Linked DNA regions of Drosophila melanogaster. The protein of the gene in region 1 interacts with the protein of each later gene in a pairwise test. Each region holds a gene or a part of one and is shown on either strand. Other genes may lie near its edges.

Evidence for each region.
Region 2: the proteins of CG13114 (region 1) and CG5225 interact in a two-hybrid assay, tested with the Drosophila melanogaster proteins (one large-scale study listed by BioGRID).

What each region holds. Positions count from the first base shown.
Region 1 is NT_033779.5:9,543,478-9,548,522, reverse strand, and holds CG13114 (uncharacterized protein), read right to left. Parts: upstream 2,713-5,045; 5' UTR 2,591-2,712; intron 2,507-2,590; coding exon 1,226-2,506; 3' UTR 1,099-1,225; downstream 1-1,098. Other genes in the region: CG13113 (uncharacterized protein), read right to left, coding at 3,731-4,348; Cpr30B (cuticular protein 30B), read right to left, coding at 5,045-5,045.
Region 2 is NT_033777.3:17,026,803-17,031,748, reverse strand, and holds CG5225 (uncharacterized protein), read right to left. Parts: upstream 3,057-4,946; 5' UTR 3,044-3,056; coding exon 3,013-3,043; intron 2,951-3,012; coding exon 2,318-2,950; intron 2,206-2,317; coding exon 1,085-2,205; 3' UTR 1,048-1,084; downstream 1-1,047. Other genes in the region: Pxd (peroxidase), read right to left, coding at 3,848-3,953, 4,012-4,117, 4,181-4,550, 4,612-4,768, 4,831-4,946.

The DNA.
Region 1 (5,045 bases):
GATTGTTAATGAATGAAGCTGTATATATACATTTTAAAATATCGTATAACTATAACTATATTTTCTTCTCGATAATTTACGTTTAAATTCATAGCTGGGACGACGTCATTATTTCAAAGTGTTGCAATTTATCGTTTTTAGTTTCACTTCATTTACAATGTACGAATATGTTCTAAATATTATGATTTCACTTTTTTATTTGTTATTTTATATGCAAACATTATTGAAAATAAATAAAACCGCACATTCGCATCTTTGCAAGTGTACTATGCAAATTGTTCTTATTACTTCGTTTGTTGAATATTTATATCCTATCAAGTGCAATTATAGTGAGCTACTTATATAACTTTCTGATTTCCATGGCTATTTTTGTGTGTGCCTATAGAAATTTTCTCAATCCGACATCCTTTCTAGATCGTGTCATACAGAAAATTGAAATGAATAAGCTCCACAAATGTAAAACCTTAGAAAATGAAAGACTTGAGCTGGTGCGTAAAATTTGTGAAAATACAAATTGGAAATACCAAAAACAATTTGGATTCGCCTTGATCAACGGTTAAATAAGCGCTGTTTGAAAACATTCATATTGCATAAATCATATATATTTGCATACGAAAATTTATGAATCTAATTTGTGTATATATCTATGCTTATCAAAATTGGCAAGCATAAACCAGAATTAAGCTGGCGAAATGCGTAAGATGAAATCTTATTCAATGTTATCGACAACAAGAAAGTATATAAAAAAATGAATGCAAATGAAGAAAACTTTTTAAATACAAATAATAAAATGCGTCAAGCCGAATTATAAATGATCGTTTTTGAAAAGTAGCAAACTCGCTACTTTATACTATGTATAAAGTATATATATTCTTGATCAATAGGATCAATAGCCAAGTCGATCTGGTTATGTCCGTATGAAAGTCGAGATTTCAGGAACTATAAAAGCTTTTTTTCATAATTTTATTAGTCTTGTAAATTTTTATCTCTTGTTTCATTAATTCTTTTAACAAAATCGAAGGGGGGAAATTGCTACTTTATAGCCCAAAAGTATGCAATAGTTATTTCAACTATAATACTAAGACCATAATATTCTTTAGTTTTTTGTTAATAATTTATTTAATCATCATGTAGTCAACAGGAAACGGGGAGTACATCAATAAATAATGGGATACCTAGAAAACATTCTAGCCTAGACTAATCCTAAAAAACAACGTATGGAACTTTAGTAGTCCGCATATCCCCTTCCTTGGTTGCCATATCCGAAGTCCTTCAGATAATTATCGATGGCCAGATCGAACGTGGACGATGGCTTATCGGGTCCAGAATCGGGACCACCATATGGCTTGATCTCCGGTTGGGGTACGGGATAGGCTTCCGTACGCGGTTGATAGGACTCAGTTTGGCTGGGATATGACTCTGTGATGCTGGGGTAGGAGTCCTTTTGGCTGGGATAGGATTCCGTGGGACTTGGATATATGGGTGTGTGGCTGGGATACGACTCCGTTTGGCTCTGCACAACGGGATAGACTTCCGTCTGGGGCGCCGAGTATTCCTTGGGTGCTTCAACAATAGGATACGATGTGGATCTCTCATAAATGGGAGACGGTGTGGCCACCACAATCTTCTCCTCGTAGGGAGTCTTTATCTTGGCCACCGACACGCCCGATGATGATGATGAAACCGCTGAGGCGGCATACTTAATGCTGGAGGAGATTTTGGGTGCCGGCGCCACTTTGCTCACGAGTGGAACCACTTGCTTTTTGTAGCTTGGAACCGGGGAATAGAAAACGGAGGGAGCTGGCTGAAGCTGAATACGTGGCGGAGTTGGCACACTAGCTGGGTAGCCCTTCTTGGTGCCATACGCAGTGCTAAGCAATTGGGCCAACTCCTCCAGCGTGTAATTAGGAGCAGCTATGCTGGCCACCGCTGGTGAGGAAGCCACCGAGGGAATGGAAGCCGGTGAAGCAGCTGATGCCGCCTGTTCGTAGACCAATGGATATGGCTTATAGGCCTTGGGTCCGCCCACTGGTCCTACCAATCCCCCATAGGATTCGCCTCCGTACTTGGGAAAGTATTTGCGCTGATGGACATGCGTGTACTCCACCTGGCCACCTGGGGCATACTCCCCAATGGATGAGATCTGGGTGAGCGGCTGCTTGGGCTCAGAAGAGATCACCTTGCGGCAGAACTCCTTGCAGCCCAGCTTGCATTCGCAGTAGCACTTCTTGTACTCCGATGGCTGTGTAGTGTAATCCGTGGGCGTGGGTGGGGCACTGGTTGTTGTTGGGTAAATAGGTCCCGGGCTGGTGGCGCTGGTTGTGGGCGGGCTCAACGTAGAGCCTCCGGTTGTTGTTGGCGCTACCGTTGTGGGCACCTCGCTGCACGGCACCTGTTCCCACACCTCCTGTTCACATTCCGCACAATATTCCGGGAAATGGGCTTGGGTCAATAGTGCCGATGCCATCAGCATGGTCATAAATAATAAATTGCAGCGTTCGAACATCTGAAGGGGGGAGAATATTGAATTTAGAATGGGTCAGAGAATTGCGCCGGAATCGTTCCCAATCGATTGACCCCGTTACCCTACCTTTCAACTGAATTTCTCCCTCGCTCGCTCGATCACTTTCCCCACAATTGCTGGAATTTCTGTCCCGGATCGCCGATGGATGGCACTTGTTGGCTGTTGGTCGGTCGCGTGCGAAACTCTTTCATGCATTTTGCTGAATAGCTCTTAAATACGCTGCGCTGGCCGAGAGCTTCTTCTTCTCGTTCTTACAACGCCGAGCAAATGGGTCGCGGAAGCGTTGACCGCATCACGTTCCAAACGCCCCAAACGGCTCGGAATGGGGCGTGGTTGTCCGGAATGGGTCCGGAATGGGTAAAGACAATCGCCAGATGCCGCCGCTTCCGTAATACACATTCAAGCATTTCTGCCCGCACTCGTCGATAGCTTGGAGTGCTCGCGACAAGAGTTGTTTAATCAAAAACATATAGCAAACATATTTATGTATGACCTTTGGCATGACAATAACCTTTAAGAGAAAGACGAACTTCATAATGCATTTTTTTTAGGCAGTTTCTCATTAGCCAGAATAAACAATCCTCCTGAAATCTTTAATTTTATAAATAGCCAAAACCATTCCGACCGCAATGATCATTTTTTCGGTTCTGCACAAAATTTCCAGCTGCTTGGGGGATTTATAATTTCTGGGTCTCGGCCTAGATCTGATATTAACGTCTGGGGTCGATTGACTTATCAATTTTTGGTTGTAATTCTTTGTGGAACTCAAGGTCTACACGTACACTATGGATAATGGTATTTTTGTAAGCGATATTGCTCAATACCTAAATTATCTTCCTACAAATTGAGTACAAAAGCTTTACTGATTTAAATAATAGTATCTTGACCATTTAACATTTTGTCTAGCTCATTATTTAAACAACATTTTGGGAAAACTCTGCTTAAAATTGGGGGCACTCTTAATCTTTTTTGTTTTAACAAAAATAAGCAACATCACTATTTTCATTATTGCGAGTAAAAGTCATAACAATTTTAGCCTTACAAAGAAAAATAGCAAAAAACTCCGATTTATTTAAAGTAGTCCTTTAAAAAAGTACTTTATTTTTTTTACTTTTATACTTTTAGTATTTATTCATTGTCCGAATCACCAGAGATCACTTAAAATCAAAGCCATTTGCACATTTGGATGAGGTGACTTATTTATGATTAATTTAGATTTGCTACACGACTTTGGAAGGGTAAGCCGGGGTAAACCTGAATATCAGGGAAGAAACTTTGATCATCCCGCACATCAGTTTCCATGGTTTCCTTGTGGTCACGTCTTTTTTCGATGGAGCTGCGCTTCCTTAGTTTCTCCCAGCGATTTTGTTTTAGTTGTGTCTTCGGTTTAACTGGCACTTGAATTTGAGATGGTTTTTTAGATTGACCCGGATCGGAAGTCTCGCGAACCGTTTCCGTGCGACTTGCCATTTCCACATCAATGGTGTCAGCTTTACTACGACCACTGGTAAGTCGCCTCAGCATCTCCTGATAATGCGGTTGATCCGCAGTTATGTATTCCGGTTCGTCTTCGGGATTGAGAATCTGGTAGTTGGGGGTGCCCAGTTCGAAGGTGGTGAATTCACCATGCTCCACTTTGTTCTTCAGATGCTGCGGCGTATACCCATACTGCTTAAGTGGAGCCATCCACTTGGCATCCGCATCCGCAACTGTATCCTTTGAGCTTCCCCCCAGGCAGAAGCCAAGGGTCAATAGCAATGTGACCAGTAGTTGTCGTGTCTCCGGGCAGCCGACCATTTTCGCACTGATGCTCCATGGATGCATTGGTCAGAGCGTTAGCCAAATCCAATAGAATCGCCATCGACGACGTCGACTGCGCCGGTAATTGGACGCCCCCAAAGTGGCAGCAGCTACGTGAGATTAGAGGCATCTATGGGCCATGTCGCGTCTGGCGGCGATAGCATTAGTTTATGCTTATCACAGTATCGAAGCCACCTGTATCGTGACGCATCATTTTATGAGACATCAATTCGCAAATATAATGATACGAATTCACTGAAGAAGCCAAACACACAAGCGAGTTGAACTAAGTCAAGCATTTCATTCACCACTTTTTTTTTTTGGTTTTAATAATCTTTCACTTTTTTGTGTCACACTTGTGAACTGTCATAATGTGGTTTTTCTTCACTTGGCTTATATTTTTCTTAACTGATCTTCACACTTATATAAGTATGTTTGCAACACAACCACTACTCAACTACTCATTTTTTTTTTTATATCAATAAAATACCCTCACCCAGCTTTTAAGTATATTCCCTATATTAAAAAATCCAAGTTTTTGTGTTCCTCTGCGAACAGATTGAATGGGATGCATCTTTATTGTAGGTTAATGTAAGCTGTCTGTATGTACACTCAATTGTCTTAATTGTAACTAAATTATGATGTATGGCAGTGAGTTTTCCCGGGTCAAGACGGGTTTCCTAATGGGTTTATGCAGCTGAAGTCAGTCATTAGATCCTTT
Region 2 (4,946 bases), on another chromosome or scaffold:
CAGTTGGTCTAGACTTTAATGGGTTAATGCGAAACACGTAAAATGTAAATCGCAAATCTCAGATCTCATCAGCCTAATGATTTCGCATAAATTTAACCGAAGATTGGTCCAGATACACACGCATGGAATTCGATGAGGCTCAAGAAAAATGATTTATTCCATTTTGTCGATGTGCTAATACTATTATTAAATTGATTACCACAATTAGGGCTTAAATGTTTGGTTATTATTTAAGAATTAAAATGTATATTATGGCACAAGTTTTATTAACTTTCTTTAGTTATTTATTTGGTTCCATGTCGGCATTGATTGTTCCATTTCAGCCCCCATTGTTTTATTTACGGGGCAATAAAATAAGAATACCGCAAAAATGGGACGATCTGACTTATCTTCTTCATTATCGTTATCATACAAATTGCTTTTAAATAGTGAAATTTAATATGACGTTCAAAATTCTTCAAGACTTTAAGGCATTGGATCAACGTGACGCACGCATGCTTTAAAAAGTCGTACAAAACTAATTTATGGACAAAGAAATTTATTAATGAATTTAATCAACCTAATACCTGAAAACATTTGAACTTATTAATTTCATATCTGCCAAAAGTTAAATACATATATTACAAACAATTTTACTTGCCTAGCTGATAAGATTCAACAATTTACCATTGTATTTTGATAAATGATTTGAGTTGGCAATTTCATTCGATTGTCATTGAATTAATAGCTTATTTCAATATGATTTCACTTTTTTCATATCTTTGTCCATTGTTATTTTATAGAAAATCTAACAAAGCCGCAGACATTTCCAAGAACAACGGAACTATTTTGACAGCTAACAATAACGCAGTTTATTGTTTATACATTTAAATTTTTTGCTATACGAATTCTGCGAGATGATCTTATTAATACGGAAATCTACAGAGGTTCACTGCTTTTGTTTATTATTAAACATTTAAATTTTATTAACTGTATCAAAATCTCTAAATGAAACCCAAAAAGTAGTATTTTTAAATTGTTAGAAAACCCATAAAAGACTCATATTTTAATGTTATTTTTTTATTTTCTCGTGGTGTTGGCTTATTTATATATTATACTGTTCATAGGCGTAAATGTGAAAGGGATTTCGAGGAGTTCCAATTGACAGGATAATCGGACCTTTGTTGGTTCGCTCCTCAATTGCATCTCCATCCATAGGTGCGTTATCCTCCATCATATTCACTGGGTCCATCTGGTCCTCCATCATATGGTCCTCTTCCATCGCATCATCTCCTTCTGGTACCATATAGCTTGAATCCTCATCATCGATTTCTTCAGCGCCACTCGGAGATTCGGGATTCTCCACTGTGTTATCTGCATATTCAAGGCCGTAGTCCGCATCCTCGGGTTCCGTCTCCAAGTCATTGGGCTCATTGGACATTTCCTCCTCGCCCTCCATGAAATTATTTTCGTTATCATTTTCATCAATTATGTTTTCGACAATCTCCACATTTTCATCTAGCAAGTCCAGATCATCCCGTGGAGTTTGCTCGCCACTACCCTCTGGCTTAGTGGGTTTTGGTTGATGATGATGGGGGTGCTGGTGGTGTGAAGTTTGGCTGTGTCCTCCATTTCCGTGTGTACCAGTGTGGGGGTGTGTATTATGTGGGTCCTGCCCTCCGTGATTGTGTGAGGGATGATGGTGGCCATGTCCTCCGTGATTGTGAGGGGGATGATTATGGTTGTGCTCTCCATTGTGAGGTGGATGATGGTTGTTGTGTCCCCCGTGATTGTGCCCTCCGTGATTGTGGGGTGGATAATGGTGATAACCCTTGTCTCCGCCATCATGTGGATGGTGAGGTGGATATGGTGGCGGATAGGGGCCTGGATAATTGTGGCCTGGATGGTGATGGCCTCCATGGCCACCGTGGGGTGGATACGGATAGTAGCCTCCCTTATCGTGTCCTGGTGGATAATAGTGATGGTGGTGTCCGCCCTTGTCTCCCTTATGACCTCCTTTGTGACCTTTATCCCCCTTATGTCCCTTTGAGGGCCAGGGCACTGGCACTGGCAGAGGAATCCATGGTCCCGGATAAGGACCAGGTGGTGGATACGGGTACGGTGGGTATGGGTACGATGGTGGTGGAGGTGGCGGTGGTGGTGGTGGTGGTGGGGGTTGTGGATACGTAGTGCCTGGAGGTCCTGGAGGACCCGGTGGTCCCGTTCCTGCAAGAGATTAAATACTCAGTAAAATTTTGGAAAATGACTTATAATATATCCTTTCAATATTTTCACTGTTAGAGCGTTGTGATATATATGAGTAACGATTTTCTCTTACCTGGTGGGCCTGGAGGTCCGGGTGGACCTTTGGATCCCTTGTGGTGATGATGGTGACCATGTTCACCTTTCTGCGGTGGCAATGGTATGGGAACTATAATTGGTGGCGTCACGATCGGCGGGTGGGGATGATGTGAATGCGGGTGTGAGTGTGGTGGTGGTGGTGGTGGAGGCGGCGGAGGCGGAGGTGGAGGTGGTGGCGGTGGCGCTGGATGATGATGGTGGTGATCATGATGATCATGGTGACCATGTCCCGACTTGTGACCGGGTGGGCCTGGTAGTCCCGGTGGACCAATAGGTCCCGGTTCACCTGGTTGGCCTGGTAGTCCGTAGTGACCGCGTTCTCCCTTCTCTCCTCGCTCGCCCTTGGACCCAGTGTGTCCCTTGGGACCTTGCGGACCAGGCGTTCCTGGTAAGCCCGGCGGTCCAGGAGGCCCCGGTGGACCTGGCGGGCAATTGCAGTGCTGTGGCGGAGGCGGAGGCGGCGGCGGTGGTGGCGGATAGTAGTGCTGTGGTGGCAGCTTGTAGATCACACTTTGTGCTGGCGCCGGAGCCGGAGCAGCTTGTAGAGATGCTATCAGTCTGCCCGTCTCGGCACTCGGGTTCTTGGAATTCGCTAGGCCAAAGGCCCAGCCTGGAAAGGAAATGAATCCCAATTAGAAATCAGATCCATCCTATTTGAATCATATTCCTTACCTATCCAAAAAATCACTGCGAACAGCCTCATGGCGAAATGGTATCTGCTGCCTTTCTCCGGCGGACGGATCACTTTTATACCGCATTATGAACTCTTAATCTTGTATGCACACTTTGTTTAAATCACTTTCATTAATCTAGATTCACTAGAACCGTTATATCATGTCCATTCAGAAATCTGCTTGCCAAATCTCTCGGAAAATATGCAAACCTGTTCGCGATGATGCTATCATCCTGGGTTCTCTCTAAACTTATATATGTAAATTTATGTCCAATCCAAAAGTGAACCGCCTCTGAAGTATTAATATGTTAACTTCCATTTGAAAACAGAAGACATATGCAAAAAAGAACACATTCTCTGTTGCCGATTGTTTCGCTTTACGATTCGAATGAACCATGACTTAAAAATGGCAGAAAAAAGAGTTTTGTCTCTTAATTGGCCGTTTCTATCAACTTGTTCACACCTCGGTCGCGCGTCTCCATATGATTAACCCCGATGAATCGGAGCTATCCCAAAGTCAACGAAAGTGTAAAGGTTTTCGGACCCGGCATTTCTTTATCCGGGCCTATTGCATAAGAAGGGGTCGGGTCTGGATGGCATTGGGATTTGCCCTTGACTTCTTTTCATTTCCGTGAAATCTTACAAACATTATCAGGTCACTGAAAGTAAAGCTGATTGTTTAAATGGTAAGGGCTTTATTTCTGTACATCAGTTTGGGACATTATCATACAAGGGGGGGGGGGGGGGGAGGGGCTTTGCATTTACGTTTATGTTATTGATTAAGCTAAATGTATTTGTATTCAACTAGTTAAGCATAGATCCCACAGCAGCGGATTACTTCTTTCCGTAGTGAGACGGATCTACAGTGGCATATAGCTTTTGATCAATCCATTTGGTGAGGTCGACTTGTGGAATATTTGAGCACGGTATAATCGGATTCCTGTAATTTCAGAGCTCAGTTACTTTCCAAATAACCAATTTAATCAATTTAAACTTACGAATGGGAAACAGTCCGGAAAGCTTCGGGCTGCATGGATGAAATGTGGTTGCCATTGTCGCACAGCAAACGAGCCATACTGGCCTTCCTCAGCTCCTCCAGTTGATCTACGAAATTAGACATAAATAAATTAATATTTAAAATAGTCAGAGGAGAAATGTTCTTTTTACCAGGAGTAAATCCAGTGAGCTTGTCTCCGTTTTCGAAGAAGAAGCGATCGCCCACTCTGGTTCTGTAGAATTGTTCCGTGAGGATACACAGGAAGGTGGGTCCAGCCAAAGCTCCGGCCACATGCGCCTCCAAGGAGGCGCCCACAGTCAGATCCACGTCTTCGTGGCTCGGGTATAGCGACTTAAGTTTTTCCAGAATTGGTGGACTTATTAGATCACCGTATCCCTCCCACGAGTGGGCACGTCTCAGTCCGCAGAATTCCCGCATGTCATTGTAGGAAGCCAGACCGTGATCGCGATTACGCTGAATGTCCAGGGAACGCAGATCGGAACCGAAGGGCATGTTTCTTCTGAACAGGAAGTGCTTGATCTAAGCCAGGAAAGGTTGAGAGGTTAGAAAGGTGGTCTCATTTTGTTATTTGTGTACCCACCTGTCGGTCAAAATTGATATCAGTTAGCTCTTCGGGCTGCGTGGCGTGTCCTCTGGTCAGGGAATCAAAGTTATCTCCAACCTCAATAATACCGGGACGATTGAACCAGTCGCTGAGGGTCAGAGAGCCGAGAACTTGACGCAGCTCGGACAGTAGACTGCACAAAAATTTTAAAATTAATAAAATGTTCTTAACTCATAATAGTAAATAGGCACTTACTCCAAACGACCTTCAATCTGGGAATGGAAGTATCTGAAAGCGGCCGTCGCGTGCTCATTCAGCACCGATGGATCAATGTTGGGATCGAAATCGTTGATATAGCTTCCGGATGGAGC